2 linked regions of the Arabidopsis thaliana genome follow. The protein of the gene in region 1 interacts with the protein of each later gene in a pairwise test. Each region holds a gene or a part of one and is shown on either strand. Other genes may lie near its edges. The genes, in order: AT4G15770 and CBF2.

The links.
Region 2: the proteins of AT4G15770 (region 1) and CBF2 interact in a two-hybrid assay, tested with the Arabidopsis thaliana proteins (one large-scale study listed by BioGRID).

The regions. Positions count from the first base shown.
Region 1 is NC_003075.7:8,975,912-8,979,755, forward strand, and holds AT4G15770 (RNA binding protein), read left to right. Parts: upstream 1-1,983; 5' UTR 1,984-2,148; coding exon 2,149-2,712; 3' UTR 2,713-3,033; downstream 3,034-3,844. Other genes in the region: AT4G15765 (FAD/NAD(P)-binding oxidoreductase family protein), read right to left, coding at 1-122, 222-450, 704-902, 1,062-1,127, 1,230-1,300.
Region 2 is NC_003075.7:13,014,747-13,018,401, reverse strand, and holds CBF2 (C-repeat/DRE binding factor 2), read left to right. Parts: upstream 1-2,166; 5' UTR 2,167-2,315; coding exon 2,316-2,966; 3' UTR 2,967-3,152; downstream 3,153-3,655. Other genes in the region: DREB1A (dehydration response element B1A), read left to right, coding at 1-49. UniProt on the Arabidopsis thaliana protein: Transcriptional activator that binds specifically to the DNA sequence 5'-[AG]CCGAC-3'. Binding to the C-repeat/DRE element mediates cold-inducible transcription. CBF/DREB1 factors play a key role in freezing tolerance and cold acclimation.

The sequences.
Region 1 (3,844 bases):
GTTGATATACAAAGAGTCCATATCACAATTCTTCACCATCTCTTTCCACTCTTCTGAGAATTCGCGGACTGATGCTAGTGCCAATCTTGCGATATCCTCTTGATTTTTTAAGAAGTTTGAGTCTATTTATAAAACAAATTATAAATACGTTAGTGCGTTATATGAAAACAATAGAAGTCTATGTATAGTATGAAATGTAGCATGACCGGGTTATTAATTACCTTGGGGACAATTTCGCAAAACAACAAACCAAAAGACGAGTTTGTGAGTTATAGGAAGTCGTCCGCTTACGACGTTGTCCATCTTGATTCTTATAAACTCTTGTCGGAATCCATGGTCGTCCGGGTAATTTGTGAACCCTCTGATGGCCCGCGAACCGAGGTCTTTAGTCGGGTTTAATCCTAGAAATCTAGAGACTACAGAATTTGACCCATCGCAGCCAATCAAAACCTAAATTAAAAGAAAAGTATATTATCAAAATATATAAGACCCATGCATTTCATGCTAAACATGTTGCTTTCAGTGAAAAACAAACAAAACACAAACCATTAAAACCGATCACGACCCATAAATGTCACTGTCGGCTAATATAAAGTATATACTAAAAAAATTCCACTACGGCATCACCTCAATAATTGATCAATAAATATATCTACTGTTGTTAAAACGTGCCTTTGCTTTGATAGCTTCTCCCGTTTTTAACGTGCACAATCGGAAACGATTTTGTTTCGTCGAGCTTAACCGACAAAATATGGCAACCAAGCCGGAGAGTGCCAAGAGGAAGAGCATGAGCCAAAGCTCGAACCAAGTCGTTCCTTAGTACACCTCTTACTTCTCCATAGGATGCTGGTCCAACCGATTCTCTTCGTTTAATACCTTTCTCGATCAAAACATCTCTTATCCTGTTTTAGTACCATACCGGAAATCATTATAACTAGATAAGGTTAGTTAAAATATAAATATTTATATACTTACTGATGAATTGGGAGAGACTTAAGACGAAGCTAGCTTATCGGCGACACCAAGTTGTTGAAGAGCAAGCCAGCCGTTAGTCTGAATACCAAAATGCTGCTCCTTCCGATCTTACAGACTCTGATCTCTCCAACACAACGCTCTTTATGCCCTTCCTTTATAATCATATTTGTATGTTTAGTTAGTCAATAGTTCATGTATATGTTTTCTAATTTAAATTACCTTATAATTGAGAAAATGAGGAGATTATAGTGAACCTGTGAAGAGCAAGGGAAGTTGCAAGACCAGCAATGCCTCCTCCCACGATTACTATGTCCAATTCTTCCATTCTTCTATATTTGTATTTCCTCCAAATTTTATGATCGTTATGTCCTGCAATGTCGTGGACTTATATGTGGGGGTTGAAGCCACATGGCAATATGGCATGTCGTGGTTGTACCTTGACCCGCGTATTTTTCGTTATCTATACATATTCATTCACAGCGATTTTTATTGGTATTTGTCGATTCATATATCAATTAAACTGTGTATCACACAGATCGTTATATGAAACCAATTCTGAAGAGAGAAAAAAAAGAAAAGAAAAATTTAAGCCTTCTTGTGTTAGAATTACTAATTTTAATAATTTATTTAATATTTTTACTGTATTAGTGATTAAATGTATAATTTACTTAATCTTAGAAGTATATATATATATTTAAAACAATTATTTTCTTACACGTTATACAATATTTGTAATTAATTGTATTTATTTATATTAGAAATATATATACCTTTTTCTAAAATAATATATTTTTGTTTTGTCAATTGCCCTTATAATATTAGTAATTCATTGTATGATTTCCTTATAATATTTTTACACATGAAAAAATCTCTAACTAAACATCTTTTCAATAAACTACATGAACTATCAAATTTGTTATAACTTTCAGTTATCCTCCAAAGTCCAAATATTCAAAGTGAATTATTCATGGGTTGGATTTAACAAAAATAATAATTTCGAGGTTGAAATGACAATAGATATTTTTAAAACAAAGGACCAAAGTCGAAATAACAAAACTCATCGGCCGCATTAGGTTTGGTCCTAAATCCCTAAAACCCTAAAAAAACACAATCCCTCTTAGAAACAGAGAGCTTCTCTTCTTTCTCCATTATTCATCACTTTCTTCCCCGAAGATGCGTCCTTTAGACGAGACCGAGACAACCGTCGTCTTCGAGAAGCTCTTCAAATTCGTCGGCAACAACCTCAAGAAGATCGTCGAGAACCCATCAGACGAAGGACCCGAATCTACACCCGGCAGCTACTGCTTCCGCCTCCAGAAAAACAGAGTCTACTACGTCAGCGAAGCCCTCGTGAAGCGAGCCACAAACATCTCCAGGAAAAACCTAGTCTCCTTCGGAACCTGCATCGGGAAATACACTCACGCCGGTAGTTTCCATCTGACGATTATGTCACTCAATATCTTGGCGGCGAATGCTAAACACAAGGTATGGCTTAAACCCACTTCGGAGATGTCGTTTCTTTATGGGAACCATGTCTTGAAAGGTGGATTAGGGAGGATTACTGATAGTATTGTTCCTGGAGATGGTGTTGTTGTGTTCTCGATGTCTGATGTTCCGTTAGGGTTTGGGATTGCTGCGAAGAGTACACAGGATTGTAGGAAATTGGATCCTAATGGTATTGTTGTGCTTCATCAGGCTGATATTGGAGAGTATTTGAGGGGTGAAGATGACCTTTGAAAGTTTAAAGGTTTTGTCTTTGTTGTGTCTTAGTTTGATTCTGCTTGTTGCTTTGAGTTTTAAAGTATGTAGCTGTTACAAGTTTCGTGGAACTTGGTTCTGGATCTATGAAAGTCTCGATTTTTATAAATCTGTTTTTGAGGTGTTTTGTGAGACTCTTGAGTATGTAAAAGCTAAAAAATTTACATTCATATGCGAATTTTCAAATCTGTAACCTGATGATCAAGATTTGTATTGGAGACAGGTTGAGTTTCCTGATATTGCTTTGATTTTTATACTTAAAAGCTTCAAATTCTTCATCAAGCTTGAAACTTTGGAAATTTACATACATATGCTAATTTTCAAATCTGTAACCCTAATGATTCAGATATGTGTTGGAGACAGATTGATTATGCTGATTTTTGAGACAGATTGATTATGCTGATTTTTGAGACAGATTGATTATGCTGATTTTTCTTTGGTTTTATAGTCCAAAAGCTTCAAATTGTTTTCAAGCTTCAAACTTTGGCCTTTGAGTATTAAGGGTATGTGACTGTCACAAATTTTGTGGAACATGGTATTGTATCTATGAAAGTCTCAATTGTTCTCAAACAAGAGTATCGAGAAGCTACAATTGTAAGCTGATGAATCAGTTTTCTGTATGGAAACAGATTGCTTGCTTTGATTTAAAACTTCAAAACTTATTACTGGGCATATAGGTTGTGTACTGCTGCCAAATAATCTGGAGAAGAGATGTTTAAACCAATTAAGTTCTGAAATCTTTCTGAAACAGATTGCATAACTTTTTGGGAAAGATATTGAGGGTGTTCTTTGAATAAATATGTTGTACACTGAAAATTTCCCACATTAAGAGTAGGGGATTGATATTCATCATCTTTTCAAACGTAATCTTGTAAAGTTCAACTTCAACCCAAAGTCTTGGCCTTTGTACGTTTGTTCCTCACTTGGGAATTGGGATGCAAAGCTGTGTTGCAAAATGTTTAGAAATAATATTTACTGTTATATAGTTTTTCTGGTATCATTAGTCACAAAGCCCGTCTAGCTCAGTTGGTAGAGCGCAAGGCTCTTAACCTTGTGGTCGTGGGTTCGAGCCCCACGGTGGGCGCTTTGTTTTTGTTTTTTTAATCCAAAT
Region 2 (3,655 bases), 4.0 Mb from region 1:
TCATGAAGTCGACGGCGATGATGACGACGTATCGTTATGGAGTTATTAAAACTCAGATTATTATTTCCATTTTTAGTACGATACTTTTTATTTTATTATTATTTTTAGATCCTTTTTTAGAATGGAATCTTCATTATGTTTGTAAAACTGAGAAACGAGTGTAAATTAAATTGATTCAGTTTCAGTATAAGTGTGGGCTATTCTTAAATGCAAGTATTTTTAGAGCAGTAACAAAAAAATGTTGTTTAAATTAGAGTATAAAACCGAAACAACCGATTCAGCAAAACCTCCAATAATAGACCGTACACCATAAACAGAAATATGGGTCCCACAAGAGAGCACTGTCCGTAGCTTCCCCTTCATTGGCCCTCTACGTGGCTCCTCTTGTAACCAATGTCATGTCATTTTCAAGTTTTACTTTCTTTTTTTATACTAATATCTTGTTTGTCGTTTTCTGTACCTTAAGGTCCTAAACCACTTTCTTTCGCGCACCATTCCTTGTCGTATTATTTCTCCGAATATGTCAATACCGTGAGACGACAATTGATAGCGAGAGGTAGCGAGAGAGAGAAACGTTCGTTGTGAAGATATTTTATTGCTGTTGTTGAGATTTGAGATATTTTATAGCTATTATTGGAATTTGAAAGTGATGTATAACTTGCTACTATATCGGTCTAATCCTTGGCTTAAACCAGTTTTTATTTAGTAATTTTATGCTCCTGTATTATTATTCGGTGGAGTATTTTTTTCTCAAAAAATATATGAGTCGAGTTTAAGAAATATATAAGCGAAAAAACAAAAAAAATATATATAAGCGGGGTTAATAGATCAACCACAATCAATTTAATTTGGACTTTAGAATTAATAAAATTGTTTACTTCGTAATTATTATTATTTTTGTTGTTCTGGCAAATCTGATAATCCAGATTATTATTAGACAAGTAGCGAAGGGACGGTGAACATTTATGATTTTAATTTGTATGTTGTAAGGAAAACAAAACAAATAAGTTCTGTAAAAAAGGTTTACCTTTCTACTTTGCCGGAAAACTCAACTCACGGTGGCGTCCGGCGAGTTTTCAGACCAAAAAGAAGGTTGGAAGAAATGAAGATGAAGAGGAGAGGACAAAAGATAGAGATGGTGGTTGAACAAAAGAAGAGTAAAGAGGACGAAGACGCTCTAAGTCTAAGCCAAGGGGGAGAAGAAGAGAAGAGGTATGAGGAGGAACCATACTTTTGTTAGAGAGATGCTGGAAATTGTGATCAACTACATGCAAAATGTCTTTTCGCCTAACCACTTACCATATTTGATATTTTCCTTTTGCCAAATTACACAAACCCTATCTTGTCTCTCACATATATATCCAATTAATACACCCCTGCCACTTGTTAATTCTCGACCATGTATGTATACTTATGTAAAGAATATCCAAAAGCTTTCTTTTTGTTCCTTCGATTTTAAGCAACTTGTGTTCTCATTTCTCAATATCTTAAAGAAATCCTGAGTAAAAAAGTTTATAGCCTCCGTGAATCTTAGGAAATTACTCTAGCATATTCAAATTTTTTGAAACAATATATAAATTTTTCTGAATAATTAAATTTACATATCTATGCTACGAAACTTGATTAATTAAATCAAATATATATATATATATATAATAATAATAATAATAATATAACATTTTTTTTAGGACACAAATATCTAATCTCACTATACTCTAGAAGTATTTGCAATGCACGATATGTGAATGGAGAAAAGACAGAAAGAGCATTTGAAAATATCTCGTTTCACGGATCATTATGTCTAATTATTTTACCATAGAAAAGCGACAATTATAAACAATTTGTTATTCGTGGAAAAATAATATTTAATAATGGTTGTCGTACCCTATAAACTACAGCCACACATTCATACAATAAGAAGTTAAAAAAATTCATACCCTAAAGGCATCAACCAGTGAAGGGTCAGAAACTTCCCAAGATGGGTCAAAGGACACATGTCAGATTCTCAGTGATTGACAGCCTTGATAATTACAAAACCGTGGGATCGCTTAGCTGTTTCTTATCCACGTGGCATTCACAGAGACAGAAACTCCGCGTTCGACCCCACAAATATCCAAATATCTTCCGGCCAATATAAACAGCAAGCTCTCACTCCAACATTTCTATAACTTCAAACACTTACCTGAATTAGAAAAGAAAGATAGATAGAGAAATAAATATTTTATCATACCATACAAAAAAAGACAGAGATCTTCTACTTACTCTACTCTCATAAACCTTATCCAGTTTCTTGAAACAGAGTACTCTTCTGATCAATGAACTCATTTTCTGCCTTTTCTGAAATGTTTGGCTCCGATTACGAGTCTCCGGTTTCCTCAGGCGGTGATTACAGTCCGAAGCTTGCCACGAGCTGCCCCAAGAAACCAGCGGGAAGGAAGAAGTTTCGTGAGACTCGTCACCCAATTTACAGAGGAGTTCGTCAAAGAAACTCCGGTAAGTGGGTGTGTGAGTTGAGAGAGCCAAACAAGAAAACGAGGATTTGGCTCGGGACTTTCCAAACCGCTGAGATGGCAGCTCGTGCTCACGACGTCGCCGCCATAGCTCTCCGTGGCAGATCTGCCTGTCTCAATTTCGCTGACTCGGCTTGGCGGCTACGAATCCCGGAATCAACCTGTGCCAAGGAAATCCAAAAGGCGGCGGCTGAAGCCGCGTTGAATTTTCAAGATGAGATGTGTCATATGACGACGGATGCTCATGGTCTTGACATGGAGGAGACCTTGGTGGAGGCTATTTATACGCCGGAACAGAGCCAAGATGCGTTTTATATGGATGAAGAGGCGATGTTGGGGATGTCTAGTTTGTTGGATAACATGGCCGAAGGGATGCTTTTACCGTCGCCGTCGGTTCAATGGAACTATAATTTTGATGTCGAGGGAGATGATGACGTGTCCTTATGGAGCTATTAAAATTCGATTTTTATTTCCATTTTTGGTATTATAGCTTTTTATACATTTGATCCTTTTTTAGAATGGATCTTCTTCTTTTTTTGGTTGTGAGAAACGAATGTAAATGGTAAAAGTTGTTGTCAAATGCAAATGTTTTTGAGTGCAGAATATATAATCTTTGGTCTCCCCATAAGCAACAAATCAAAATATAATACTATTACGTAATTCAGTGAATTGAAAACAAAAAGTTTGGGCTCACCTGTAAAATTAAAGTTAGATGATTCTGGCATTTCCGTGTCTAAGAAAAGTTCTAGGCACTTATGTAAATAGCAAAAGTTCCAGGTTGGTTGATAGCAACAGTTTCTGCCTTTCTGCTAATTCAGCAAATATCAAGACTCAAGGACGTTTGGTAAATATCCAAAGTTCCGTGAGTTTTTGTAAATATGATAAATTATAGGCACTATATAGATATCTAACGTTTCAAAAAATGTTTGACCCAAAAAAAAAAAAAAAGGGTTTCAAAAAATGTCTGCAAATAAAAAAAAAAGGATGCGGAGACACTTTTAATTTAGTCAAAGCTTTAGGCAGTAATGTAACTGAGAAACGATCCTATGTAAATAGCAAAAGATACAAAAAAAAAATAAAAAAAAAAAAATAGCAAAAGATACAAGATAGTGATAGTGTATAAGTAGTATCAAGAGATTTATATA